Elephas maximus indicus: one gene and its partners. The protein of the gene in region 3 interacts with the protein of the main gene of each other region in a pairwise test. Links are inferred from orthologs where the notes say so. Each region holds a gene or a part of one and is shown on either strand. Other genes may lie near its edges. The genes, in order: PARD6B, C22H22orf39, CEP76 and SALL2.

The links.
Region 1: the proteins of CEP76 (region 3) and PARD6B interact in binary tests that used the Homo sapiens proteins (3 or more experiments, as listed by UniProt). The two-hybrid records come from large-scale screens. The link is inferred for Elephas maximus indicus from reciprocal best matches to the Homo sapiens genes CEP76 and PARD6B.
Region 2: the proteins of CEP76 (region 3) and C22H22orf39 interact in binary tests that used the Homo sapiens proteins (3 or more experiments, as listed by UniProt). The two-hybrid records come from large-scale screens. The link is inferred for Elephas maximus indicus from reciprocal best matches to the Homo sapiens genes CEP76 and C22orf39.
Region 4: the proteins of CEP76 (region 3) and SALL2 interact in binary tests that used the Homo sapiens proteins (3 or more experiments, as listed by UniProt). The two-hybrid records come from large-scale screens. The link is inferred for Elephas maximus indicus from reciprocal best matches to the Homo sapiens genes CEP76 and SALL2.

The regions. Positions count from the first base shown.
Region 1 is NC_064843.1:18,919,192-18,926,414, reverse strand, and holds the start of PARD6B (partitioning defective 6 homolog beta), read left to right. Parts: upstream 1-4,205; 5' UTR 4,206-4,579; coding exon 4,580-4,645; intron 4,646-7,223. UniProt on the Homo sapiens protein: Adapter protein involved in asymmetrical cell division and cell polarization processes. Probably involved in formation of epithelial tight junctions.
Region 2 is NC_064840.1:32,679,413-32,687,395, forward strand, and holds the start of C22H22orf39 (UPF0545 protein C22orf39 homolog), read right to left. Parts: upstream 3,018-7,983; 5' UTR 2,977-3,017; coding exon 2,950-2,976; intron 2,782-2,949; coding exon 2,614-2,781; intron 262-2,613; coding exon 133-261; 3' UTR 1-132. Other genes in the region: UFD1 (ubiquitin recognition factor in ER-associated degradation protein 1), read right to left, coding at 5,818-5,892. UniProt on the Homo sapiens protein: Negatively regulates long-term potentiation and modulates adult synaptic plasticity. Stabilizes the interaction of RTN4 isoform A/Nogo-A with its receptors, inhibiting clustering of postsynaptic AMPA receptors at synaptic sites.
Region 3 is NC_064829.1:9,168,962-9,176,471, reverse strand, and holds the start of CEP76 (centrosomal protein of 76 kDa), read right to left. Parts: upstream 3,013-7,510; 5' UTR 2,883-3,012; coding exon 2,820-2,882; intron 1,454-2,819; coding exon 1,298-1,453; intron 1-1,297. Other genes in the region: PSMG2 (proteasome assembly chaperone 2), read left to right, coding at 3,455-3,511, 5,984-6,155. UniProt on the Homo sapiens protein: Centrosomal protein involved in regulation of centriole duplication. Required to limit centriole duplication to once per cell cycle by preventing centriole reduplication.
Region 4 is NC_064828.1:31,885,469-31,892,697, forward strand, and holds the start of SALL2 (sal-like protein 2), read right to left. Parts: upstream 3,016-7,229; 5' UTR 2,911-3,015; coding exon 2,838-2,910; intron 1-2,837. UniProt on the Homo sapiens protein: Probable transcription factor that plays a role in eye development before, during, and after optic fissure closure.

The DNA of each region.
Region 1 (7,223 bases), on a different chromosome or scaffold from region 3:
CATTTATCAGCTTAAAAAAAAAAAATTAATCTGCCTGCCTCCAAATATAAACAACCTTCATACTACTGAAAATTAAATGAGATAATCCATGGAAAAGTACTTAGCCCAGTTCCTGGCACTTGGTGAGTCCCTCATAAATGTTAGCTATCATCATCTTTATCAATACCTTGTAGGAACTGGGATATTTTGGTTGAATACTGCAGCCTGCATGTTGACCTTGACAGAAAGATTACTCTTTTCATTTCAGTTCATCCCTGGTAATGTTGAAATAACGATCAATCTCCATTATCCCTGGGGTACCATAGAATGTTAAGAGCTGGAAGGGTTTATGGAGATGATCTCATCCAGTGCCTGTACTTTACAGACAGAGAAATTGAGTCTCAGGGAGGGAAAAGGTCAGAAAGCAAACCTGTGGCTGAACCAAGTCAAGGGTAAGACACACGCACAGAGCCCGGCACCTACTGCCTCTCATAAAGATAGGGTTTACCCGAAAGTGCATTTAGCTTCTTCAATCAGGAGATAATTCATTAGTTTCCGTGGCTGTGAGCACCACCAGCCAGGCCCCACACACAAAGCAGTAAAGTATTATGAGGTATTGACGAGAAAACAGATCATGTGATTTAATTCCACCTCTGCTAAAGGGCTTAAAATGCTTTGGTGAGTAGTATGAGATTCTAAGTATACACTTCAACTCTTTCTCAAAGAATTATTAACTAGCTCCATCAAAATGAGCTTGAGCAATCAAGGAGAAAAAGAGCTGGCAAGAGGAATTCCTTGAAAAAAATTTCACCAACAGGATATATGACTTTTCGCCATCTCTCTCTCTCTCTCTCCTTAATTCTAAGCGTTGGAAGAGGAAGGAATGAAAAAGGTATTATGTAAGATGTGAATTACTAAAACTAATCGTGGAAAATTACAACTCTTGAGACTTCACAGTGTAGGTTTCAAATGAACACAACAGGATATTTGTAGAACTTAAAGACAGAAAGCATTTAAAGGGAAGATAAAGCAGAGGGGTAAAAACGCTCTAACTTCATTCAGAGGGTGGAGATGGGCCAGGGAAGCCTCACGGTATGTGGGTGAGGTGATTTCTGATAGCCCACTCCCAGCTAACTACTTTGTGAACCTATAATTTACAGTCCATAACATCACACACTCACCTTACTTATCTCCCTAACCCACTGAGTATTAATCTCCCAGGCATGGGACTAGCTTTTCATTCCACACACAGGTCTTGATCAGCTTTAGCTTGAGGATTTGGGGGTGGGGAGGGATGATGGAGAGAAATAAGATTAGGGTCAGTCTCAAACCATAGTAAACAGGAATATAAACCCTTCTCTATGCTGTTTCTCTGGGTTTCCCAAGAAAGGCTGGAATTCAGGCCCTGTGAATGAACTTGTGGACATACCAGCTCTAGGAATGAACGGGCTCCCCTCCTTCACAGCACCTTTATCAAATTCAAACTATTTTCCACATTCCTCCTTTACACAACCCAAGCGCACTTGTGACGCAGACCTCAGAGCAAACTCTGGCCTGGCCCTTCCTTCTAGAAAGGAAAGTCCAAGTAAGGAGGGATACCACACCCGGGGGAGGGGAGAGAGGCATGACGACACCTCCAAGAATGCAGAGCCCACGCAGGTGCGTTGGCATCTACTGACTTCCTTTTTAAACGGCCTGATAAATCAGTACTGATAACAGTAATAAAACTCAACCACCCAACAATCGCCCACACAGAGCTAGGGCCCCCCGCTCTTAGGGCGAGGCCCTGCCAAATAGAGAGAGAAGGGTGAATGCTGTGAATGAAGAGCCCTCAAGGTGGTGACGTAGCTTCTAGTCCGTGGTTCTCAAAGTGTGGTCTAGGGACCCTTGGAAGTCCCTGAGATCTCTCTGGGGATTCACAAGGTCAAAATTATTTCCATAATTGTAAGATGTCATTTGCCCTTCTCGTCATCCCCCATTGACTCACAAGCACACAATGGAGCTTTCCAGAAGGGACAAGACATGTGCATCAACACTCTGATGACTACAGGACTGTGTGCTTCTGTATTCCTGTGTTTTAAATACTTGTTTTAATCCTAATAAAACAAATATTGATAGACGTAACACACACAAAATATTTTGGGGTCCTCCATAATTTTTAAGTGTATAAAGGGTCTTGAGATCAAAAAGTTTGACAACTGCTGTACTAGTCCAGTTAAGAGAGTTACAGTTTAGGCCCTGAGGCTTCCCCATGGTGACATCACATCTTTATTTCCAGCTCAGCTTGAATCACATGAAAAAACCCACTGCCATCCGATTCCGACTCATAGCGACCCTATAGGACAGATATGAGTAACATAGTAGGTACTTTTGAACAAGGGGGTGAAAAGGCTGCCTTATTATTATTCAGCTTGGGATGGTATCCTTTCCATCTGTACCTCCACCCAGAAATGCCCATGAAAACGTTAAGTTCTGTACAAACTTTGCGCAACTGGAACCTCCACCCTCCCATGAAGAAAGACGGGCTTCTTTCTCACCCTGTAAACCAAGGTGGGGCAGTTAGCATACAGAAACCACACTTCTTCAGCCCCAGCACCCAGCAGAGATGTATCTGAGTACCTGCTAGAGTCAGGCATTGTGCTATACCCTCAACAGTGAGAAAAGCAGATGTGGTTCCTGCCTTTAGGGAGCTTTCATTTTAGGGTGGAGAAGATTACTCATTAAAAAACTCAAAGGCATCTAAAAAAAAAAAAAAGGCAAGCTGAAACTGTCACAAACTCTGGGAAGAAGAGGTATAGGGCGGTAGGAGCAGATGTGTTAGGCCCCCAGGACTCAGCTGGAATGAAGCATGCTAACCAGGCCAGCTCCCCAAGACCCTCTTCTTGACCTCAGGTTAGAAATCCCTGTTCCAGAAGGACTGAATTGTGAGTTCCTGCCTGATCTTTCTTCCTGGCCTTCCATGGTTAACATTTGTCAGTCTCAGGAACACACACCACACATTGTGTCTGTCACCAGATTGGGCTGTGACTACAAGTCGCGGCATGGCTGTTCCCTACTCTAGCTCACAAGAAGTTCAACAGCCCTTCGAGAAGCAGCAATCCTACGGCGGGCCTTGGTAGCCCTTGCGTAGGGGGAAAACTTCGTGAGGGGGAGACTTGGGGAGGGGGTCTTCTCCAGCCATAATTTTCAGAGGGTCCCACCTTCCCGGCCTGGCTAATGCTAAACAGGGTCTGCCTGGGAAAATCCCAGCTCTGGTGCATTTAGAGAAAAGGATACGGCCTTTCGTTACTCAGGGACACAGCTCCGTTGCTCGGGAAACACACACAAGCCAGACGCTGTCATTTGGGGAAACAGCAAAATGGCCAAGAAATGGCTTGAGGTGGGAAAAGGGAGCCTTCAGAGGTTAAAAAGAGAAACAAACCGAAAAAAAGCGCAGAAGGGTCGGCCTAGGAAAAGCCCTCGGAGGCTGGGCCCGAAGAGAGCACCTAGGACTTGAGCCCACCTTCCTTCCCTTCCCGGCGCCAATTCAGTGCTGGGACCTGACGCACTTAAAATGGTGCAGGGCACAGAAACTCTGTTCGACAAGACCCAGCCCCGAGGGCCCTGAGGTTCACCACCAGTCTCTCCTGCAGAGGCGGGAAAACTTGGCTTTTGCAACCAAGAGTTGCATCTGGACGCCTAAAAGACGCAAACAGGAGGCCGAGCGTCGATTTGAAGCTGCGACAACCCAAACTGGCGGCGGGGCAGGCCCGGCGGGAAGCTAGCGGCCCCGCGGAGCCTCAGCGTGGTCGACCACCCGAGTCGGGGGAGTCGGCGCGCGTCCCGCGGCGCGAGCTCCCAGCGGGCCCTCAGTAACCAGGCGCGCTCCGGCGCACCCGCGCGTGCGCAGGAGGCCCCCCACCGTCGCCCTTCTCCAGGTGCGCTCGCGCTTCCGGCCGGCCTTCTCGCACCCTCCCTGCCCTGGGCGGAAACTCCGTGGCCTGCGCATGCGCCCCCCGGCTCTCCTGCTGAGTCCAGAGGGGAGGCCCCCGGCTCCAGGTGATCCCGCCCCTCCTTCGCAGCGCTGGACCAATTACGCCTCGGTGGGCGGAATTTTCGAGTAGGCGGCCCGCCCACGAGCTGAGCGAGGCGTGTATCGATTGGTTGGCGCCGCGGGCGCAGGTGCGCGCTTCCCATTGGGTGTGGGCGGAGCGCGGTCTGCAGAGCCTTTCGGAGGCTGCAGGTGAGCGCGCGCACTGGGCTCGGGGACGCGCCCGCGGGCTCGCGGCGGAGGCTGCCGGGAGCGAGGCTGCGGCGCTCGTCGCCTCTGCTCCGCCCCCTCCTCCTCCTCCTGCATCGTCGCGGCCGCCGCCGAGGCCCGAGGGAGGGAGCCGCGTCCCCGCCCTCCGCGCCGCCAGTCCGACCCTCGATCCCGCCGCGTGAGGAGCCAGCAGAGCGGGGCTCAGGGCGAAGACGGGAGCCGCCGCCGCCCCCTGTGCAGGTGCCAGTGAGGAGGCTCCGGGCCACAGCCGCCCCCCCAGCCCGCCCGCCGCGCACTCGCTCCCCGCTCTCCTGTGCGGTGGCCCGGCCGGAGGAGGCCGCCGCGGGCTCGGCGCTCAGCATGAACCGCAGCCACCGGCACGGGGCGGGCAGCGGCTACCTGGGCACCATGGAGGTGAAGAGCAAGGTGCGCGGGGCCCGGCAGGGTGAAGCGGCGGGGCCGGGGCCGGGACACGGGGAGGCCAGAGCCGGGGGCGGAGGGCGGCGAACGCGGCTCGGGGGAGGCGAGGGGCCCGGCAGGGACCGCCTGGGGAGCTGCCCGGTGCCTGGGACGGCGGGGTGCGGGGTAGTGGGACTTGGAGACAGGCGGTGGCGGATAATAAACTCGCTGAGAAGGGGACGGGCGAGGGCTTGTATCTGCTCCTGGCCCTGATAGGACGACCCAGTGGAGCACTTAGTCTCAGTCCTGTTCCAGAATGAGAGTGAGGCCCAATCTGTACCCGAGGATGCGGAGGCATTTGAGTACAGTGTGGGAGGAAAGGTTTGGGGGAAATTCTGCGTACTGGGTTGACGAGTAGAAGCTATTTGGAATATCCCATGGTCATATAAAGTTACCCCTTCGTGGCTCAGGGGATCATCCGGTGGCAAAGGAAAGAGCCCAGTGTACTAAAGAGCCCTTTTCAAGTGAGCTATGTTTCCTGCAAGGAATTTTTCTAGCACTAACTTTGGTATGCATTTAATCTGTAAAATTTGCACTATCACCTTACGTTTGAGTGGTACTTTACAGTTTGAGTCTGGATGCTCTTTTCATTCCGTCGTTCTACCTTTTCACATCAAGTGCTTTCACCCTTGACCTACGAACGGTATGCCAATCTGGGGATAATTACCTCCGTATCAACTGAATTCCTAAATTGCAAGGCCGGGCGAGCAGGACAGTCTGTAGGGATTAGTTAAGGAATGCTTTCCAAAGGGGGTTTTGAACTGGAATTTGAAGGTGATCGGCAGCTGCGGGAACATTTTCAGCAAGCATTCCATGAATTGAAGAGCCGAAAGGAGTTTAGATCATCTAGCCCCATTCTCGTTTTACAGATGAGAAGACTGAGGCTCAGAAGGGTTATGACTTTCCCAAGCTCTGGTTTTGTGATAAAACCGTAAAGCCTTGATTAAAGCTGTTTCAGAGAATCACTTTCAGGCACTGCAGAATACAAAAAGTTCACTCGCTAGGCCCTGAGCACATTTAGAATACAGTTGGGAAGAGCAGAACACAGAATAGAAAAATAAAAGCATATCACCTTCAAAAATAACGAAGCACGTTGAATGTAAAACTAGTTAGAATGCACAATCAAGAAGCCATTTGAGCGAAGTGCAGTGGAATTAAGGAAAGTTTCCAGGAGCCTGTGGGTAGAATAGTTTTTATTGTCTAGGGCTGATAAACACAGTTCTGTAAGTTGCTGTAACTGAGAACCACATCAAGAATATGTAAATGTGTTCATTTTTAAACTTTATTTGCGACTTTAAGAACTCACCTATCAGGATAGGCACTAGTTTAAGGAACCGTTCTGTAATTATAAGCAATTTAAGAAATAGGTTCTTCCTTGTGTCCTCCTTGGAACCGTTGTAGCACATTGAAGTGGCTTGCTTGAACTAAAGGGTTAAGATGACTCAAAATCTGCAGAGCTTTTCCTCTAGCAGTCTGGTGGTGGTAGTGTCCCTGCCCATTGGTTGGGCTTTCTCGTCCCAGATTTGTTATAAATGTAGTTTGGGTTTGTGGGAGTTGAGGTTAAGAAAAGAAAAGCACTTGTGATACTGCCTAATCTTAAAATTCAATTTGTGGTCTTAATCTTGGTGGTGAGTCTTTAGTTTTTTATCTTAGGAAAAAATGAGTAGGGATTTGATAGTAGGGCTCAGTCGAGGTGCACTGATAATTACAATGAAAGTTATTTCTGGTACTGGGAAACTTTGAACACTTGGGAACTGGAACTTCAGGCTTTTTGCTCTTCATTTGTGAATCTTTCATATACTGTGGCCAAACTATATGTTGTGTGTCGGACCTGCCATAGTACACGTCTTTAGTGAGCCGGATCTCTTTAACAGAATCAAGGCATCCTGAGAGCCGGCACTGAATGAAGTGGTCCCACTGTTATTCTGGCTGCTGGTAACTCGGCATGGCACACAGGGACATGTAGTATGTCTCTGACACCTTATGTTTTAAATATGTGTTAAATGAAGCAGTTGTCATCTTAGTCATCAGAGATTTAGTCATCTGGACATATTTTCGAAACAGTATTTCCTTTTACACTGCTTTAGTGCTATCTCAGCTTTTTACAAACTGATCACTAAGCTGGTAAACAAAACTTGGTAGTGTGCAGACCCACGCTTTAGGATTTTTTTCTTCAGCATTGAAAACAGTAGCTTCAACTTTATTATCTTCGCTCATGGAGAGAGAAAATGGTGCAGATAAGAAAATAACGGACGGCGCAGAATCACTAGGGTGAGATTGGTGATAGTGCTGCCATGTGATTTTTTTCCTTTGGTAACTGATTTATCTTCCTAATTGCTTCTCCAGAGTTAGGAAAGTTTTTAACAAACACAATGATGTCCTTCAACCTTGGAACAGTGTTTGAACCATAAAACTTCCTAACTGTTAATTATGTTGTTGTTAGGTGCCATCAAGTCAGCAACCTTGTGTACGACAGAACTAAAGAAACACTGCCCAGTCCTGCACGATCCTTGCAATTGTTGCAGCCACTGTGTCAGTCCATCTT
Region 2 (7,983 bases), on a different chromosome or scaffold from region 3:
TGCTCCATGTTCTAGGCCAGGTGGAGCTCGCAGGGACCCACTATGACGGGCCAGTCATAGTCCTTAGGTCGCAAGACAGGTCCATTTTAGACAGGCGGAGGCAGCTGGAGAGGTGGCGAGCAGGACCACTCCTCACTCGTCTTTCTCATCCTGGGGCAGAGGGAGGTGCCAGTCTGCAGGGGGGCTCCGCCTCAGGGACCACACCAGGGCGTGCTTCCGTGCAGCCTGGACTCGGGCCCGCTCGCTCTCACAGAGGGATTGCTGTGTAAATGAGACCCCAGTCACTTCTGCCTCATGGCTGGGCCTCAGTGGGCCTGAGTGCCCTCACGTGGCCCCTGTATTTCCCTGCTCCTCAGCACCCTTCCAAACACAGATAGAGAAACAAGAGTGTAGCATGCATACTGTTCTGCAGTATGGTTGCTTCCACCTAACATGTCTTCGCAATTGTTCCATATTAGCACACATACATCTAGATCATTCTTTTTCACAAGCCACTGTAAAAACTACTGTGTAAATCACCATCATTTGAATAAAATTTAAAACATCTCCTGGGCCTCAAGGCTCCCTGGCTTCGGTTCACCTAGTGAACGTGGGGCAGGTTCACCTGCAAAGACAGAAACTGGAGACGTTGAACTGTGAGAAGATAAAAAAGTCTGAAAGAGTGGCTGTGGGAACCTGCCGAGAGGAGCAATTGGCTGAACAAAGAAAGATGAGATAAGAGACATCCCCAGAACTCCTTGGAAGGTTAGGGAAGGAATCAGGCAACAGGTCACTGGGCACAGATGCGCACAACAGGTCCCACTCCACACGTGGGAGCTTCTCTTCATCCACTCTCTCTCAAAAACAAGCACAAGGGCAGTGCTGTCACACAAAGTGGGCCCCTGGCATGTGCCAGGCACTACGCTCTTTACACATAGAAGTTCATCTTCTCCACCTGCCTACTTGTCTCTCCCCTCAAGCCCTATTGTCTCAGATAGAATGCTTTTGTTCTTGTTTAGAAAACAGAAGCACAAAGTAGGGTGTGAAAGGCTCCCAGGCCTCCATCTCAGGTGACAGTTAACAGCTTCCCTACACCTTTCTATGCCCAAATTTTAGAGTAATCCTGTGTTTCTCTAAGGGTGGAATAATACTCTGTTGGTTGCTGTATTTCCTGCTTTTTTTTCACTAAATGATACACTGTAGGTAATTTTCCACACCACAGTATATTACTATCCTGTGTTTAAAGGCTACATGGCACTCCGCCATGTAGGAGTACTTATGTAGTCAAATGTCTACTAGTGGAATTAGGTTGGTTTCAGTTTTTGCACAATCACAAACAATGGCACAGTGAGCACTTTAAGCTTTTAACTGTGCACTGTTGTCCAACTCTTTCCCTAGAACAGACTTCCAGAAGTAAAACTGGAGCCAAAAGTTATGCTTTTAACCTATTTAGTCAGATTAACTGTCCTCCAGAGAGGGTGTTCCAGTTGAGACGCCCAGGAACAATGCGCAAGTACTCCTGACTCTCCAAACCGCTACCAACACTTCTACATTCCACTGGGCAAAAAACACTGCTACTGTCCTTTTAACTTGTGTGTCTGGCCATTTGGCTTTCTTTTTTCATGAACTGCTTCTTCATGCCCTTTGTCCACTTTTCTATACTGAAATCATCCCCACTTTTCCTTTCGATATATAACAGCTCCTTTTTTATACCTATTAAGTTGTCAATCTCTTGCCATATAGACTGCAAACTATCTTTCCCAGTTTTCTTTCACTTATTATGGATTTGTCATCGCTTCCTGTTAAATAGCACCTTGGTTTCCACATCAGCTTGTCTGTTCCAAAATAATCACGTACACTTAACAAAGTTGAAGCTGTCCCCAGTCCTGCTGGCTCCCCTTCCCCTAGGCACTCCCCATAAGCACTGCACCCTCACCCCTTCTCTCCATCCACACTCCCACCACTGGCCTGAGGCACCACTAGAGTGTGGGTGCCAGGGGGGCAGTGGCTGTTCTCTTCACTCCGCTAACCCCAAGAACACCTGCCATGAAGTAAGCCAGTGATAAATATCTGCTGAATGAATGCACAACTAGAACAACCTCCAGAACAGAATCTAAATTCTTTATCAAGACACATCAGGTCCCTGGTAGCTCTCCACCCTCATCCTCTACCCTCCACAGCCCTCCCTCCCTCCGCTCCAAGCACCATGGCCTTCTTTCTGTTCCTCAGTCTTGTCACCTAGGGCTGGGTGAACGCTAGCTCCAGGTCATTCAGGATTCAGCAATATGGCCTCCTCTGAAGGCCTGCTGATGGCCCCAACACTTGCAGGTGGCCCCTCCTCCCTCTCCAAGTCACTCTACAACTCCTCCTAACTTGTCTCCTTCATTGTCCTTAACACCGTCTGAAAGTCCAGTTGATATACCTGTTTTTGGCATTTCTCAAAAGAAGGGAAGCTTAAGGAGGGGAAGGGCCCAGTAGGCCTCCTCTCCACAGGGTCACCGGAGCCTGGGTCGAGGGGAGGGCTTGGCACATGCAGGGGGCTCTACACATATCCGCAGGACGCGCGCCTGCCCGCATGCTTGCTCTCTACCCCGACATCCTGGCAACGTGTCCCCGCTGGCCTCCCCAGGGTACCTGGGCCTCGGCGCTGCGGCGTTTCTCCCACTCGTGGCAGCTGGCCAGGTCGCGGAGCCACTGGTCGCAGGCCGGCCGCTCGCCGTGGACGTAATAGTGATGCAGAAGGTGCCTTGCGCTGCGGCAGAGTTTCCACTCGGCGCGGTAGGCTTCGCAGGGTCGGGGCGGCTGCGGCGAGAGGCGACGCCTGAGAGCTGCCGGAGGCACGCCCCACCCCAGAGGCCGCTGTGCTGCCCATCCCCCGACCCCGTCCCACCCAGCCCAGTGAGGGTTCGGTTAATATGGTCGCCTGGTCCGACGAGGCCGCTACGGATTCGGGTCACAGACCACGCTTACCCGCCAGTTCCCGCCGCCGTCGGCCATGTCTAAGCAAAACCACCAAACCCCGCCTTCTTAACCCGTCAACCAATGAAAACTGAATAAAGTCGGCAGCCACACGATTGGCAAATAAAAGAACCAATGAATTCCTAGATATGGCGGGTTCTAACCTCCTAAAGAGGGGCCAATAAACAGGAGGTCCGCATTGGGCAGCCAATAAAAGCCTGGGGCTGTGGTGCGCGCGGGCGGGGCCGGGGAGAGGCGGTCAGGTATCCTCTACAGGGGCAGGAAGTCTGGCCCCGGACCTAGTGTTACCGCAGCGGCTGGAGGTGGGCGGGAGTGATGACTGCAGCTGCCCGCCTGGTGTCGGTGGGTGTCCCAGGCTGCAGCCAACCACGTTAAGTTGACTGTTTATGAAGCCGCACGATTCAGGCCGGTTAGTTTCAACAGCTTCAATATTTTCAGGAATCTCAAATGCCCGGTTAATTTTCCTAAGCAAATAGTGAACATCAACCCCGTGTCAGGAACCACCAGGTTCTGGGACAGCAGTGGTCTCACCCTTCGCATCCAGTCAAGAGGACTGAGGTGAAGTCACAAAATAACCTGGGTTAGCTCAGCATAGTATGGGGGAGGAGGTGAAGGGGGCTTAGGGCACAGAGTAACTTCGTGGAGGGAACCGGGGCTGAGCGCTCTGAGCATAGCAACAGCCTAATCAAACTCAGGGAGTCTGTGTCTAGCACGGAGTGAGAAGCAGAGCCGTACAAACCTGGAGGAGCTTTTATGTCTGATAAGATTGTAGGCTGTTTTGAAGCCACGCAGAGACAACGTTTACAAACAGGGGAGGTGCAAAGAGGCAATAAAGAAGCCAGTGGGCCTCCACCAACTCTCTGCAATACCTCGTATCTGGATGTGGTGGTTCTCCAGCTTCTGCTGATAGAATCATTTGCTGGGGAGTCCCTTAGAGCTAGGTTGCTGGAGCCACCCCAGGAGTAAGAGTAGGTCAGACTCACTGGAGGAGGGGCCCAGAAAGCCACCAGTTTTACCAATGGGCCCACCACTGAGGTGGCTGACCCATGGCCCAAGCTTGGAGGAACACTGTCTAGGAAGACTATAGGCCAAAAAAAAAAAAAAAAAAATAGGCCAGGGTGCAGTAAATGACCTTGACTTCTAATCCAGATGACCCCACTGTGTATATCCTTAATGCTTCCATCAGAAGGCCCAACAACTGGGTCTACCCCCTGGCCCAGGAAGGGCAGTGTTCTCCACACTACCAGCCAAGAGCCAGATGGAGTTTCACTGCATACACAATAGGTGTTACTTATAGATGACAAAAGCCAAGGCCTATGGCTTACTGTTAACATTCTTCATTATGCATATAATTACAATTTGTTAGCCAATCTAATCCTGCAGATGGTGGCTGCCAATCCACCAAAGAAGGCGCCCATGTCTGCTAGGGAAACGGAGGCTCTTTTAATGGAGGGTCAGGTAGGTCAGAAAAAAAAAAAAAAATTCTTTTTTTCTTTTTCTTCAGGTAGGTCACCGCAATAATTCATGTCTTCCAAAACCACATCCATCACCACTGGTCCTGACCTCTGTGGTGACCATTTGGGCCATGGGTCCAAGCCCTGGTCACTGACATTTGTTGATGCAAGTTCTCTCTGAGGATACCTGGATAGATCCTGAGGCTACCACCCTGGAGGGGTCATCTTTTTCTCTTCTGAGTGTTGGAGAAGCCCTGTCAAAGTCAGGCTTCAGCCTATAAGCATGATAAGCCCTGGCACACAGAAGGGACCCTGCTGGGCCTCACCATCCCTACCCCCAGGGTCACAGAGCCTCCTCTCTCTCTCCATTATCCAGAAGAAACCCCAGAGGGGCACTTTTCTAAAGGCAGGATGGAAAGTGGGGCACTCGTCGGCAGGCCTTCCTCCCCTTCCTAGTCAGTGACCCAGCCACCAATCACGTTGTTATAAACATTTACATTAGAGACAGTCCAGGTTTTAATCATTGCCTGTTTTTATTTTAAATTCTTCATTTAGAATTATTTTCAAGGAATAGATTAAAATAGTTAGATTAGCATGTCAAAAGATCTCACATTATAGAAGGTGAAGATCTCAGACCAAATTAATACTAATAAAAAATAAAGACAGACCAGCAGAGCTGTGGATAATTTAATACAGTAAAATTGGGAGTGAGGATGGGGGAGAAGGGAAAAGAGCATACCTTTATTGTTTATAATAATATTCACATTTGTGCTTCAACATGAAGTTATTTTTCTATAGAACAGGTTCATTCAGGAGCCAAAGTTACTTCCACATGAAACCAAAATAAAAGTGGGTACTTTGTTCAAATCAGGTTTTCCTTCTGAGGAATGGTACTTAAAAAAAAAAAAAAAAAAAATCAATATGTAAAATAAAAATAGAAACAGCCTTTCTCAAATATATAAATTGCAGCCAGGGTAGCAGATATTCTAGGCCAAAAGCAATATCTTAAGCAATGGACCTGGAACAAAAAAGAAAGGCTACATAGAAAAAAAAAAAGAACATCTCAAGTTAGAGCAAGGCAATCCCTCCACTGGCTTTATCAGGAATGAGGGAACGCTGGTCCCACTGAGCCAGTGGCAGCCCCGAGGGCTGAGCATAGACTGGCAAGGAGGTGACCGACTACTGGACCTCAGAGGCAGCTTTCTCTTTCCCAATATTAAGCACACAACTATGAAGTCCTGCTGTTGCTCTTCCAGCTCCAACTTGATAATTCTAGGTAACTCTAAACAAACCTTAAGTAACAGAGCGTTTTCTGGCAATAGTCTCATCCTTGTCAGAGCCAGTAACTAAAAGCCAATACGTTGCAATCAATTATTTTATTTTCCAATCAGGCAACAGCCCCGACTTATGGCTTTCTTCCCTTTTTACGCAATGACTGTCCTTCTCCAGAAAATGCAACGAATCTGCCTCCAGCTTCATCCTAGGTGTGCAAAGAAAATACCGTTTTCAGAAAGTCCTTGGAAATTTATAATAATGTTCTATTCTGTTGACTCCTGTACCATCCAGTCATTTTTCTTTCCCGTTACTCATAATGAAAAATATTTTAAATATAAATACAAGTCATAGTTCACTACATTGAGAACACCAAAGAATCACTATGAGTCTGCCACAGCCTTTATTCTCAGGTTAAAAGTGTATCGTTTTACAAAAGCACTACATTTCCAATGTAAAGAAAACATAGGATACACCAAGAAAATAAAAATCACTCTAAACCCTGTTGCCATTAAGTTGATTCTGACTCACAGCAACCACGTAGGACAGAGTAGAACTGCCCCATAGGGTTTCCAAGGAGTGCCCGGTGGAATCGAACTGCCAACCTTTTGGTTAGCAGCCAAGCTCTTAACCACTAGGCCACTACCCTAAAAAAGGCTTTCCAGTCACTTTTCGGTCTATGACTATATAAACTGTAGTTTCTTATCTAATACCTTCTAAAGTCTACACAGACTCCCATCACGTGTGAACCAGTCTTATATCACTGCGTGGCCCCCTCATGCCCAGGCTTTCTGTATTTTAAATCGCTGTGGTGAGCAGCCTCATGGGTCTGTACACAGACCTGGCTCTTCCTAGAAGTGGGGTGGATTCCTAGATGGAATTCTTGGGTAAACGGGTATACATATTTTCAAGGATTTTAATATATACTGACTAATCAGCACTCAAAAACATTCTACTAAGCTATTCTCCTACCAGCAGAGGGGACTTATTATTCTGATCCTTTGAAAACAGCAGGTATCTTGGCACAATGACCCATTTTCACATGCTTTTATTGCTAGTCTTACACATTACCTATTGACTTTTCTCTCCGGAAGAAGAGGGTTCTGCTCTCTCCAATGCATACCCTGACTACCTGCACCCCAACACTCATTCTGTCCCCTCCCCATCCAAATACAGCACTTCGCTTGTTCTAATTCTGTAAATGTGAGCCATAGCCCAGTTGTTTAGTCTTCCTTTCCTGCACAACCTTCCAGTTTTCCTGGTGTCAACAATGGTGTTTGGCTTCTCTCTACTCCATCTGTTCAATCACAGCAGTATTCCAGCAGGATCCTGAGGCCTTTGGCCAGCCTAACCTGCACTGGCCATTCTCTAGCACTGCACATGGCAGTGGGGACTCCCTGTTTTCTGGATTCTGTGCCTTTCTTATTTCTTTATCTTAATGGGGTACATCCTCCAGCACCCTACTGAGAAAGGCAGCACAAGGAGTATCTTTTTATGAGATCTTAAGGTGTCTTAAAATATCTTTTTTATACTCTCACACTTCACTGATGGGTTGGTGGGTACAGAATGTTAGGTTGGAAAAATTTCCCCTCAGAATCTTCTAGATTTCTGTGTCCTACTAAGAGGCAGATGCCATTCTCAATCTGCGTGAAACCTCTTCAGGAGTGGCTCCCCTGCCCCAATAGGGCCATTTTCACCCATGCTGAGCACTCAGGGACCCTTCCGAGCAGCAAAAGCCTGCCCTCTGGTTCAGGGAAATTGCTTCCCTGATGATTTCTCTGTTTTCCCTTTCTAGAACTCTATTTGGATGTTGGCAGTGGAAATTTTTTTACTGGTCTTCACTGGGGTGAGCTGGCTGGGACAGTTCCAAAAGGAACCCTACTTTATCACTATCTTGAGGTCCTTTTCCTGGGCGCATCAGACTGGCCCCAGAAAGCTCCTCCAGCCTCCCAAATCCATAAGTGCACCTGGCTGCAGTGTCCAGGAGCTAAGAGGGGAAGAGCGCGAAGGGCATCAACACTCAGCATGCAGGCTGTCACTTATTCATTCTTCTAGTTCAGTTCTGCTAACCACTGTGCCTGATTACCCAAATCTGGAGATCTCCCATTATACCTTTTCCTCCAGCTTTCTCCTGCACAGCAAGGTTGGGGAAGAATGTTGTGGTTCTAACTATTTAACAGACACCTTGTTTTTAGATCCCATTTCTAGAGGTGCCTTTGGAGGACGCTATAATCTAAACCAAATTGCTTTACTTCTTTCCCCACAGCCTTTTTGCGATTCAGCTTTCCATGGTCTATTA
Region 3 (7,510 bases):
ACAGAAGTGTTAAATACAAACCCTTAATACTTAAAGAAAGCTAAACTTTTTCTAAACCTCATACAACATTTGGTTTATGAATGGTCATGAGCAGGTTTTTACAAGGAAGTGTAATTCACACAGCAGAAGCTGTTACTAGGTCATTTTTTAATAATAAATAGGTTTCTAAACCTCAAAAACTAAAAAAGGATGCTGTATTAAACACTTTATTCCTTCGTGTATTATAAAATCCATTCCAATTTTTACATCAGGTTATCCAGGTATTGAGGTCACAGCTTCTCATTATTGCCTCATTTTCAAAAGGCCTACTTACTAATTATGTACTGAGAGGCTATCACTCTGCTACTGACCTATTTGTAGGAAAAGATTTGAGGGCTCTTAAGCAGTCACACTATTTTCTTAAAGAAATTTATAATTTGTTAGTCATAGAAAATTCACTCCCCAAAAAATGCATTTATTTTAAAAATAAGCTCGTCAATCTAAAAAAAATTACACTATAATCTTAATGAAAAAGAACTCTGCTATGGTGACTAAGATGCACCTGACCTAAGCCATGATATTTTCAACAGGCTCATATGCATGTGAAAGCTGGACAATGAATACCGAAGACTGAAGAACTGATGCCTTTGAGTTATGGCAAAGAATACTAAATATACCATGGACTCCCAGAAGAATGAACAAGTCTGTCTTGGAAGAAATACAGCCAGAGTGCTCCCTGGAAGCCAGGAGGCAAGACTTCATCTCCTGTGCTTAGGACATGTTATCAGAAGGGACCAGTCCCTGCAGAAGGACATCATGCTTGGCAGACCAGAAGGTCAGCCAAAAAGAGGAAGACCTTCAGTGAGATGGACTGACACAGTGGCTGCAACAATGGGCTCAAACATATCAAAGATTATAAGGATGGCACAGGACCAGCATTTCATTCTGTTATACATAAGGTCGTTATGAGTCTGAACCAACTGGATGGCACCTAATAACATGATGAAGTAATGTGACTAAAATATGTGCATTTAAAATTGTAGACCTGGAGGATAACGAGAAAATTCTGTCAATATACAGACAGGAATGTGGAATCCCCTCCAATTTCACTGATATTATAGCAAATAATACTATTTGCTATATTCGTAGAGCTACCTTATACTTGAAAAAAAAAAATACTTGAAACTAGGGTATTACTAGACAAAAAGGTTTAAAGCGGTTTTATTAAAAGGAGGCCCCAAATATGCACCCTATAAACATTGTCAAGCATGAGAACAGACTTACACTGTCAACTTTTTTTCCCTAAATCATTACTCACAGTAACAAAATTCAGTTCCTTCATCACATCATCAATGATTCCTCTACGTCTAAGGGCTTTGATCAAATCTTCTGTTGATAACTGTTGTTGATCAGGTGCCAGTTCTTCACGTATAGTCTCAGCAAGGATTTCTCGTATTCTGCCGTGGACATCCATCTACGTAGAAAACTCACGTTACAATTTTTTTTCTCCTGAAGAGCACATGTATCAAAGCAGCCAAATATTACCAATTAACCAGTTTCTTTCTAAAATACTAAATCAAAGTAATAAAGAAAAAAACGGGGAACAATCAGAACAAAATTAAGGAGAATCTTGACACAACTTCAAAACCGTAACTAACGTCACTGATCAATCTGTGTGGAAATTGTCAAACGGGAACCTAACTTGCTGTGTAAACTTTCACCAAAAACACAATAAAATGTTATTAAAAAAAAAAATAACAGGGATGTTAGAGACTAAACTTAGGAAATTTGGGTTTCAGGCTTCTCCAGTTAATTGTAAACTTGTTACCACAATTCAGTGAAAACAAGGGCAAGTGGTTTCGTTGTTTTTAAGAAAAAAAAAAAAAGATGAAATTTTCAGTACAAATTTTTTAGAGTCTCTACTGGTCATCTGTTACTTTTTCCGCACAAACAAGACTCAAGTAAAATATGTATCTTTTAAAAAGAAATACAGTAACATCAAAAGAACCTGGAGTAGATAAATCAACGTTTGAATTTATTTTCAACTTATTAGAGGTGTAACCTCGTGCCAACTTATTTACCCTTCCTGAACCTGCTTCCTCGTCTATAACATGAGGAAAGTATTGCCCTCTCACAGGTTGGTGGTCAGGATTCGATGACAGATGCTCAACACCCAGCACAAAGCCTGGCGTACAAGTGCACAACACATGGCAGCTTTTATTAATATTTCAAATGCCCGGTTTTTTCAAATCAGCTTATTGCATTCAGTTGAGTGTCCCGAACATTCCGTGTTCTCCTGCTCCAAAGCATCACAAATATTTTTGTTACAGACTTTAGCGCCTTCTCTTCTATGACTTTTTGAGAACTGCTGGTTTAAGCTACCCGCTCAATTTCAACGGCACCCTCGTGTTTCACCCTTAAACCGATTCTGACTTTTCAAGTCTGAGTATAAACACGGGATCCAAGCGCAGGTTTGACTTCCTGCAGCGACTCGACGGACACTTCCTGTTCACCACGGTCCCCCAGAACCCGACCCGTCCGTCAGCGCAGCCCGGCACTCCCGCTTCCTCAGCGAGTCTCTGTCAGCGAGGCCAGAAAGCTCTCCTGGCTGCAAACCCAAGCCTCGCCCCTCCGACCTCTGCCCCTCCGACCTCTGCCCCTCCGACCTCTGCCCCTCCGACCTCTGCCGCTCCGACCTCTGCCCCTCCGACCTCTGCCGCTCCGACCTCTGCTCCCCCGACCTCTCCCGCTCCGACCTCTGCCGCTCCGACCTCTGCTCCCACGGCCCGGCCCGAACCCCGAGGACCGACACTGGCACGGAGGAGCCCGCGCGCCCTCACCTTGTTCAGCTGCTGGTGGATGAGCTGCTTCAGCTCCGAGGCTTTCTCCGCGGGCAGGGACATGTCGCCGGCCGCGCCTCGCCACCGCTCCTACCCGGCCTGGGAGTCCCAACGGCCGGCGTTCCGCCGAACCACTACCGCGACAGCGCCTCCGAACGACGACCGCGTCAGCTCCCCGCGCGCGCTCTAAGGCCGGACGGGGCGGGGCGGGGCGGGGCGGGGCGGGGCGGGGCGGGGCGGGGCGTCTGGGGCGGAGCCGGGGAGCGGAGCGGCGAGCCCCGGGGTGCCCCCAGCGCCGCCTGAGCGGCCGGGAGCGGGTGTCCCCGGGCCCCCGCAGCCTCCACACACCAGCCGATGAGCCTTTCCAGGGTCTCCGAACGTGTTGCCCTTCCGTTTCCCGTTCCCTCGCAGTTTCTTCCCGCCTTCCGCGCAGGCAGTTAAACTGGAAGGCCTCCGAGGACCTGGCGCCGAGGGGACGCAGGACCCCGCCGGCCCGGCCGCGTTCGAGTCCTGTCTGCTCCTTTCTCCGCGCGTTCCCGCTGTTCCCGCTCCGCGTTCCCGCCGCTCGGGCCGCAGGCAGGTCGACTTCGCCGCCGCCCCCGCTCTGTCCCTTCCTTCAGCCCCACGTTGCGGCCATGTTTGTGCCCTGCGTGGACCCGGCGCCCGAGCTCACGGGCTTCACCCTCTTGATGGTGGGTTCTCTGGCGAGTTCTCGGCGGCCCCGCAGGGCCACGGCCTCCGGAGGCGCCGGCGGCTTCATCCCCCGGGCTCGGGCCGCGCAGGGTCGGGGGAGAGAGGGGCCGTTTCTGTGCAGTTGTCAGCCCTCACTGAAGGGGCAGCAGAGGCTGTCTGTCGCGGGAGGCGGCGGTTCTCGAGAGCCTTCGTGGACCTGTGGGCTTGTGCGAGTCGGTAGTCCGTCTGTTAGCTGTGACACGAGCTGCTGGGCTGCGTGGGTTGTACAGGGTATCGTCCTCAAGTGTACCCTCAGAGGTCTTCCCAGCTACTTCTAGGTCGGTTTTAAGCTAGCAAAGTAATGCTGTTCTCCAGAGGTTCTCTCTGTTAAGAAACCATAAATGTAACCTTAAACCATGTCGTTTACTAGCTTGAATTTAAGCAAATGGGAGTTTACTGTAAAAGTATTAAAATCAGTGGTAGTAATAAAAGTCACTTTTTTGCCAGTAGCTAACACGGTTTTATCGCTTGTGCAGTTGGCCACGTTCATGCAGTGTTTCAGTAAACATTCTGGCACGTACGAATGTTAGGATAAGACTTGTCCACAGGAGTTCGTAGTCTACCTGGAAACGCGTCAGTGGACGAGGGCAGTGAGTGCTGGGGTGCAAGTTTGAAAAGATTGCTGACAGGCCCTAAGACTTGTGGGGAGGAGGAGTGGGCACAGGGCTTTTTCTTCAAATGCTTCCTAAAGAAATTAACGCCCAGAAAGTGAGGTATTGGGGGCTGGGGGGCAGGAATAGGGCATTTCAGGAAAATGGATGTCTACCCCAGAGACACACCGGCATGGGGGAGCTGGAGGATTTGGACTGGGAATGACTCATTGAGAGATAATAGGCTGCAGGCCTGTGAGCCCAAGAGACACCTTTGCAGAAGGCGCTGTTGGAAGTGGTGTATGGCTGAAGAGTGAACAGCCGTCCTTTTGTTCATTAAATATCAAGCACATGAAGCCAGAGAGGAGAGTGTTGAAAGAAGGAGAGAATACCTGTTTGTCACAAGTAGGCGAATGTGTAAGACGAGGAAGTGTGCGCTTGGGATTTAGCAACATGTGGGATGTGGGTGGTAACCTTTGCAAACAGTTCTCAGTGGAGAGGAAACCCATGCTGCAGCTTATGGAATGAGTTAGAGGATGTGGAGATTTGTATGTATTCGTTCAGCAATAAAATTCCTGCTCATGTTTCAGAGGACAAAGGTTAGAGGTATTGGCTTTGTGGGGACACAGAAATGAGATAGAGGGGCATGTGAGGACCAGGCAGGGCTGTAGTCTTTGTGGAAGCAGACTGCCACATTTTTCTCCCACGGGGTAGCTGGCAGGTTCAACGTACAGGAGAAAGAGTATAACCAAAGAAACAAAGTCTTGGAGAGGAAAAACGGAACTACTGGAGGTTGCCAGGGTTGATGACAGGTGTGAACAGTGGGAGACCACTGTGAGTGGCCCAGCAAAATAGGATGAAGGCCGGTAAAGAGCAATAGTTGGAAGTAACTCCATTAAAGAGATACTTTAGAGAAAGAATCAATGAAAATCAGTTATGTGTTAGATAGAGCTGGTAAGGGAAGAAGGTTCCTGTTTTAGGTGATCTGGTAAATGGTGTTGCTCTTTTCTGAAATACAAAATATGGGGACAGGTTTGGGCAGTTGTTTAGTTTTATACATGTTGAATGTGGGGTGCCTGTGGCATAACCATGTAGAGATATCCATTAGCTGCTAGAGCTCAAGTAAGTGTTCTCAGCTGTAGGCAGAGATTTCAGTTGGCTGTTTGAAGTCATGGGGATAAGTATGTGTGTGTTTAGTGTGAAAAGGTCACTCTAACCTTTAGATGTGGGCAAAGAAAGTGGTACAAGAAGACCCAAGATTGCTTTTGTACATACCTCACAACTTTCCCACTTCCTAGGATGTTCATTCCCAGGTTGTTGTATGCCTCTCTTCCTTACTCCTTCAGTTCCATAGTAGTCACTTTGCACCTGAAGTGAGTCTTCTTTGACACTCAATTTAAAATTACAAACAACTGCACACAGGGACATATACACTCACGTTATATCCCTTTTCTCTCTTTTATTTTTGCCCATAGTACTTACTACTATATATTTTACCTATTTATTTTGTTTATTGCGGGTAAACCACATCCTCACTAGAAAGGAAGCTCCACAAGGGCAGTAATTTTTTTTCTGATTTTTTTTTTTTTCCATCCCCAATGCCTAGAGCAGCGTTTGACACATAGTAGGTGCTCAGTAAATATTTGGTAAATGAATTGTGTGAAAGGTGGAGGAGGCCTCAGCTGACATCACAGTTATAGATAATGAAAGAGTCAGTATTTAGCTGTGATATACCCAAGCATAAGCGTTCAGTACTAGTACTATGATTATTATTTTCAGTCTAAATTTTAAAAGTGTTGCTAACATTTTATGACTTATCGAATATATCTTTTATGATTTCAGCCAGCAGTATCCGTTGGAAATGTTGGCCAGCTTGCAATAGATCTGATTATTTCCACGCTGAATATGTTTAAGGTTGGTTACTTTTATACCGATTGTCTTGTGCCCATGGTTGGAAACAATCCATATGCAACCACAGAAGAAAACGCAGCAGAACTCAGTATAAATGCTGAGGGTATGTACAACTTGCAGCATGTTTTATTCTACTACAGAGTTGTTTTAAATTAGAAATAGACTCACAGATACTGTTTTGAAGCAAATGTTTACTTAGTGCTGGTTTTGTGCTGTCAGTGAGTATTATGACCCAGTCACATTGCCCTGTTACATTCTGGCTTTAGGTCTTAGCCTTTTTTTGTAAATGGCAGCATTTATGAGGGGTGTAACTGTACTTGTGTCTTTAGATAGAATTTAAGATTTCCTTTTTTTCCCCCCAACATGAATTTTTTTCTCCTTCATCCTCAGTTTTATTTTCTGTTCTTACTGGCACGTGTAATCGTTATCACTCATACAAGGGAAATGTGGCAATGAGAATTCGCCTGGACTCAGTCCTAGTGTTTAAGATGTACTTCTCATCTAAGCCTCCAAGTCGTCTTGTTGCATTGTTATGGAATCCGTAATAAGCTGATTAGGTAGTAAGGCTTAGAGAGAGTGAGTTGCCAAATGCCACTTAGTAAGGGTGGGCTTTTCCTTTAGCATATGTTTCCAAAAGTCCTGATTTCCTCATTGGACATGTCAAGCACGGTTAATAGGGAACACTGTTCACATTGCACTGATGCTGTTGGGCGATTCTGTGAGATAGCACCATGGGAATCAGGGAAAGCTGTGGATCGTGAAGCACAGGAACTCCGTTACTTGGTTTGATGGCCAACTGCTCTATTGGCCTCTCGGTCTTCTGCTTACCATTTTGGGGTGAAAGCCAAAGGTAGTAGAGGAGCCTGAGGGGCCCAAGTGGATTAAAGAGCAGATGAAGAAGCATTTTGTTTTCTGTCAGTCTTATTAACCATGACATTATTCTAACTTTGCAATAAGGAAATGCAGTTTTGAGAAATAACTTTATTATTGAAATTCCTGCAGGGAAGATTAACATGAGATGAATTTCAGTTATTGCATTAAAGGATAAAAGATTTTAGTGAGAGGACTAGAATTCATATAATTTCCACTAATGATAACAGCTGTTTCTTACTGAGCATTTACTGTGAACTGAACACTGTATATTTACATGTATTAATTCATTTAGCCCTCACAGATACTCCATGAGGTAGTTTTATACATGAGGAGACGGTGGCAGAGAGATGATAAGTAAATTGTTCAAGGTCACGTGATTAATAATTGGTGTAGCTGAGTTTGAAATCAAGGCAGCCGGGCCTTGTGAGCTGCCTCTTCACCACGACACTGTCCTCTCCATGCTCGCTCACTCCAGTAAAAGATCCACTTCCTTTTCTCTGACACAGACTAGCAGCAAGTCAACTGTAGTGATAAAGTACTTCGATCCACTTTATTGTTTAAAATGAGGTATTTCAACTGTCAAAA
Region 4 (7,229 bases), on a different chromosome or scaffold from region 3:
GTTAGGAGCCAAGTGTAAGCCCACTTGTGCTTCCCAGAAACCTACCCATGTATAGTAAACATTGCTTGAAAGAAGGCAAAAGGCTCACTATGGGGTAGAAAATGATACTGGTGAGGAGTGAGCTTCTTGGATCAAGAAGACACATGAGACTATGTGGGCAGCTCCTGTCTGGAGGGGAGATGAGAGGGCGGGGGCGGGGGGCAGAAGCTGGCTGAATGGACACAAAAATAGGGAGTGGAGAGAAGCATTGTGCTGTCTTATTAAGGGGGGAGCAACTAGGAGTATATAGCAAGGTGTATATAAATTTTTGTAAGAGAGGCTGACTTGATTTGTAAACTTTCACTTAAAGCACAATAAAAATTGAAAAAAAAAAAAAAAAAAGGCAAAACACTCTTGGAAATACTAGTGGCACCCTAGCCTACTAAATAATGTGTGCTGAGGGTCATAATTTCACAGATATACCAAAGGATGCAGTGTTCCTCCAAAGAAGAGTCCTGCATACCTAATTTAAGGGCATGCAGAACAAGCAAACACATCTCTGGGGTAGAATGAAAAGTCAGGAGACTGAAGATCACAAAAGCAAATTGAGACCTTGTCTGTGCAAATGTTAAACTTATAAAAGCAGGAAGGAATTTTAGATATGATCAAATATAACAAACTCTTCTTACAGATGACAGCCAATGACACTCGAGGCCATGCAAGTAGCCCAGGATCATTCCCTCTCAGGGAAATTCTGATGAGGAAACAGGCTTTGTTAAGACAGATCTTAAGAGAAGTTACTATAGCTTTCTAGCTCCTTACATTCATGTTTCTGCCTTTTATGGCTCAAAGGCAAAGCTTCTACTGAAATTTGTTACTGCCATTGGGTTCAAGCCTGTACTCTTTCGATGGGGATGGTTTTGCCACAGCATCGCCATGCACCTAAGTATTTATAGCTCCAAGTGGGAGATATAGCTCAATGGATTTGAGAACTCATTCAGGGTAATCGCTAAAGACTTCTGTTGACCCTTTCTCTCACAGATTTTTCCTCAGCTGTGGTATGGGGAATGGGTGAACAGACTTGGGAGAAGTGAGAAGGAGAGGAGAGGATTCCTCAGAGGGTTCAGCATTGTTCCACAGTGAGCCAGCAGGGGAGCAGGATTGTGAGGCGACTCTGAGGCTCTGGGGGAAGTCTCCTGTAGAGCACAAGGAGGAAACATCCGGCCTGTAGCAGCATCAAGGAGGGCTAATGTGTCCCTGGAGGGAAGGATGCCACCAATAGAACCTCTGAATATGGGCACAGTGGGATCCCAGCAGAGCAGTAACTTGGGGAGGACGTGTTCTACCCAAAACACAATCTGTTAAGGTTGTTTCATAATCCATGGAGCGCTGATTTGACCTCAAGTCTTTCTTTTTTTTTTTCCAACAAGTTTCAGTTACTAAAGATACGTTATCCTGGAGCTCTTTCATGGCACACATCTCATAAAGAAATGCTGAGCTGGCGTTCACCCAGTGTTCCTGAACTTTGGTCATATTTCCGAACTTGTAGGAGGAGCCACTGCACTCACAGTAGCATGATAATAACAGTACCCACACATTAACTACTTACTTAGGCTAGGTACTTTTCTAAGTGTTTTACTCATTTCAATTTGGCACAGTTAAGCAGTGGTGCCAGAATTTGAACCCTAAGTTTGGCTTCAGAACCCTTGCAGCTTAACCCTACACAACATTGTTGGGTAAACCAACTGTTTGCTAAATAGACCGTTGATCCCTGAGCCAGGACTTCCAGACTTTCACAGGTGCCTGCATATGTAGCCACACCGTTGACCAGTGTGCCCAAAACTTGCTTGAGCCTAAGAATTACCAGGACTCTTGCAAAAGATATAGATTTCCAGACTCTATCCACAATCTACTCACAATCAAGCAAGTTTGAGGAATCCAAACACATAGCGAAAACCACCCTCCTGATACCCCTGTGCATCAGGAAACTTTGATTTTTGTCCTGACAAGGCCCTGCCTCTGAGACATTGGTCAATGTCATTTCTTAGTACAGCAGTTACTCTATTGTCTGCCCCTCTCAGATTGGAGTTTTTAAGAATACACGAAAAAACTGTACCCCATAAAGGAAATCTGCTTAAATAACAGATTTTAATATCCTCATAAAATGATACACATGTATTTACGGGTGTGTTAGAGTATGTTAACTAACATACTTTTTTTTTTAAACTGGCCTCCCTTGAAGCACAAACCCAAGCCCCTCAACCAGATCTTCATCACATCCTCCAGCATCTACACCAGGTGACTGGGATACACACCCCAAACCAGGCTACCTTCCGACCGACAAGAGCTGTCTCCCTCTGGGAGCTCTGATTCGCTCTCAGCTCAGCTCAACAATGAGAAACTTTTTTCTCTTCTCCCTCAGGGGAAACTTCACGTTTATCCAATTCATTCTCTTGCAACCCAACTCTCCAGAAAGAAAAGGGGGGAAAATCCCACCCCTAAGAGAAGGTCTTCAGGTCTGAGGACGTTACTTAGCAACGGCACAAAGACCAGTGAGCAAAGGGGGACCTGGGGAGAAAACTCTGGGGTGGGGAGATAGAGCCAGTTCGAAAACTCCATTTCATCCAGAGAAAAACAACAAGGAAAACACAAACAGAATCAATCCCGAGAAAAGCTGATCAGGGCTTCTCCCCAGCACAGGTCACCTCCTTACCCCTCACATAACAACTCCTTCAAGCCTCCAGTGACCAAGCCCCCCGCTTCCTGGTTTCGCCCATGGCCCGGGTGCCCTCCCCTTGCCCTGGCCTGACCCACACAGCCTTGGACTCAGGCTCCCCCAGCCCTCCCCAGGCACCCACCGTTCTCAGACGCGCTGGGACCTTCGCAGTCCGAGATTAACTGTTGGGGTTTCCGCTGCTTTCGCCGAGACATTCCCGGGCAGAGAGAGGTGGGAGAGGGAGGGGCAACGCTCACTTAGTCTCAACCGGGGTGACCTGCCCCGTTCTCCCCCTTGGGTCTGAAGCCAACTGATGCTTCCCCCCCTCCAGTGCAATCACTGTGAAGCAGAGATGGTCTCCCTTCCCAGAGACAGACTCTCTGACTCCCTGTCCCTCTCTCTCTCTCTTTCTCTCTCAATCTCTCCAAGTCTTTAAAGGGGAGACGCCCCCTTTTTTTTCTTCAGCTTCTTCCCTACGCTTCTGCAGCTCCCATTGTAAAAGCAAAAATCCTAATCTTTCCGCACACTCTTTTCTTTTGTACTGCAGACGAAAGGATTTAACCCTCTCCTCCCTGCGATGGCTCTGGTCTCTCCCTGTGCTGTCTGCTCAGAGACCTTCCTTTGCTCTCTTGTCTAACTCTTCTTCCAAGATCTTTACAGTGCTTTTTGGTTTTTTCATAATTCCACACCACCTCCCCGACCCATGTTTGATGATGTGCCTGCTTCTGGGGTACAAGCTGAAATAAGAACTTTTTGGTATATCCTAATCACGAGGCCAAGAAGTCAACTATTTCTAGTTGAAAACGGGAATATGAAAAGTTGGCAAAAAGATTCAGTGAGGATGGACTGTCATTATAATAATATATGTATAACCAATATATGCATAGCTCTTTATAATTTACAGAATGTTTTCATGCACATGACATATTTTGAATATTACAAGTCTGAGTTTAGTACGTCAGATTTTTTTACTGTTCCCATTTATAGATGATCCCATTTGTAGAAGAACCAAAGGCTCAGTGGGGTTAGGTAACCCATTCAAGGTTGCACAGCTACGCAGTAACAGAGACAGTCCCGGAACCCAGGTGCAGCTGATAGTCTAGCATTCTTTTCTCTATATTGCTGAAGACACAATATGCCATCAGACTGGTAGCGTGGGGTGGGGCGGGGGGAAGGTGATTCATCTTAAGGAATCTTATTTAAAATAGGAATTGAATCAGTGGATTTTCTATCTCTCTCACTCCCCTATCCAGCTCCCACGGTTGAAGGAATGCCTCTGAGAAGATGAACTAGATGAGTTTCATCGTACTCCAGAATGCAAGCCACAAGAAGATGTTTTCTGTTCTACATAAAGGAACTTTCTAATAGTGTGATGGACTTTCTAGTGAATTTGTGAGCCCTCTGTAATATGTTCACATGGAGGCTGTGGAAAGGATTTCCTTGTGGATAAGAAACCAGACCTTTAAAAATTCTTCCATCTCTAAAATGTACCATTTGTCGACCAACTAGGTCTTTCCTGCTTAGACACTTGAGGGTAATTAATTTATTATTCTTTAACTTAAGTGCTGTTCATACCTGACTTTGAGCAATTCTGTGATATGGGGCATAGAATATTCCAGATGTGCCCTACCCTGTAGCTATAATGCCTAGGTTCCCTTCTACTAGCCCTATTTACCTTTTACTCTTCTGAGATGACAGACCATATGAAATACCTATAGTTGGGAAAGGGGAAATTATTTTCTCTTTTGGAGTTTAGTGATATAAATTTATTTGGTGGCTGACTGTCTTCAGAAAAAAGCAAAGCAAAACTCACTCATAGTTTTCTTCATTTCTTTTTTTGTTTTTTTTTTTTCCTTTACATAAAAAAAAAAAAAAAAAAAAAAGACCCTGGCTAATTTAGCAATACTAAGAAAGGAGAGGAAGACAACCGACGGTAGTTGGGTTGCTGGTGATAGATGAGGCAGGTACCCACATCTGAAGAGTTTTGGGAAGCTCTCTGATCTTCACTTTGGAGTTCCCTGAATCTTCATTATTTTCCCGGTGTTTTGGGGTCAGGACCCTGGGTGGCTCCCTCTCATTCCACTCTTGGAATTCTTGTTGCTGACATTGTTTCATTCATCTTGGTAAGTACTCTGTGGTAGACAGATGTGGTTAGAACTAGGGGATTGTAGGAGAATTGGGGACATTGAGGCCAGGAAAGCTTATAATTCCTCACTGGAATAGCTTGTGTCCTGTCATTTACCTGCATTTTTGAGGAACAGAAAGGAGGAAGGAGCACAGCTTTCTCCTTTTCTCAGGAGTCTATGAAATCTCCATGGGCAAATTTAGGGGTCTGCATTTGTCCCTTTCTTGGGTCTTGGTTGTCTTCATCTTTTTCCACTTTTTCTCCCTTCTTGCTGCGCTTATTGTGAAAGGAAGGGCTCTTTCCCCTCCTCGCCTTTCTTCCGCCCTCTCCCGCTTACCATTTTTTTCCTTTTACCTCTCCACTGTGGCCTCTTGACCTCACCACAGAGTTACAAAAGTAAAATCCTTGAAGAGATGCTGCTGTGAGAATGTTAATGAGCCTTCCCCACAAAGGGGCAAAGACTTTACTTCACTGAGTTGGAAAAAAGCCCCTTTGAAAAGGGGTTTCTGTGTGTGGTGAAGTGGAGAGGGGAGGGGAAGGAGAGAGAGGGAGGGAAAGGAGAAAAGAAGGGAGAGAGAGAAAATCAGAGAGAGAATGAAAGAAAGAGAGAGAAATGAAAGAGAGAGGGAGAGACAGACTTAAACTTAATACTAGAAGAGAATATTAAAATAACACTTTTCTTTCTTCAATTGGTGATCTAATCTTTTGGAAAATGTTCTGTGGTCTTTTGACCTTGCAGACTAAGTGCTTACATTCCCAGGAAGCTGAAGAGGCACTCAAGGGCATTGGAGATAATAAAGGAATAGGAAAAAGGGACTTATCCTGGCACCCCACCCCCAGTTCCTTCTCAAATGTGGGAGCCTGAGTGGCTTCAGGGGGAATATTCTGGATGAGGAAAGCAGGTGTTGAAGATAGGTTTTTCCTTCTGGCTTTTTTTCTGGTTTCTTCTTATGACATTTTTTAATTTTACCAACATTTTCTATTTCAGCTTCCCCATTGGCCATTGACCCAATATAGCTTAAAGTATTGTTGAGGTGTTTCATCATGGAGTCAATTTTTAAGCCAGACCACTTGAGCACAGTATCTGTATCCTTCATTTGTGTGCAAAGGTTGTCTCTGAGTTAGTTAAAATGGATGTTAAAGTACATCAGTGACAAAATTAAGTGCTTAATTTTATGTTGTTGCTTTTTAACAAAAACTGGATATAATGTTTGAATCTCAGAGAGTTTAGTACAAATTGTTTTGTGATGTTAGCACAACACCACTGTTAAAGAAGCCCCGGACTGTGAGGAACAAAGAGAAGGTGACTAGAATGAGATGCCTGCAAGACAAAGGATAAAGATCCAGTCAGGAATGCTAATTCTCAGAACCCTGAATTCTCCTCTATATCTGAATTCCCAGACCCACCGATTCACATTCCTGGGCTCCACCCCGGATCTGAATCTCAGAGAGTGGGGGGTGGGGGGTGGGTATGGAGCTGGGATTTAAGATTTAAAAAAAATTTTTTAAAATGATTCCTCGGAAGAGTCAATTTGAGACAATTGCACTTGACTGGTGGTTTCTAAACCATGGGCTCTAGATTCCTAGGAGACTGCCTTGTTGTTGCAAGGGAATCCATGTATCCATGAACCAAGCCCTGTCTGTTGATCAAATAAACAACATGTCTCTTAAATGTATGTACTATTTGCTAAATGTCTGTTGATGTTGTTGAGATTAATACACTTTTACGTATTAATCTCAAAAAACTACTTAAAAGTACTTCTATACGCATAGTGGTTTTTTGCCCTAAAATACAATTATAGTCATGTGGGGGTCCAGGAAACTTTTTGGCATTTCATTCAACACCTTTTCTCTCATGACAATACTCTGCTCTTAGCCTTCCTGTCTTTCTAGTTTGTATGTAGAAGAGCAAACCTTGTGGAGGCATTTCCTCTACCCTCTGATGAGTTAGAATCATATAAGGAATTTGGTTTAATGGCAAGAGAACTGAACCAGGAATCTAGAAACGCATGTAATGTTTTCATTGAAGACAATAATCACAGCTGCAGCACGTTCTGTGTGCCAGGCCCTTTGAATACATAATCTCATTTAATCCTAAAACAACTTTGCAAAGGAAGCTTTTTATAACCCCTATCTTATACACGTTGTTGTGTGCCGTTGAGCCGATTCTAACTCATTCCGAACCTACACATGTAGAACACCCAAATTTACGAATGAGGAAACCATAGAGCAGAGAGGCAAAGTAGCTTTCTTGCTTAGGGTCTCATAGCTAAAATGCAGGGTTGAAATTTACCCCAGCAATGCCCAGTTGGACAGCCTGCATTTATTTTTTACCACCATGTGACACTTGGTTGCCATCCTGTTAATGTCTGCCTCTGTTATGGGCTTCCCTTTGTGGCTGCAGACCTG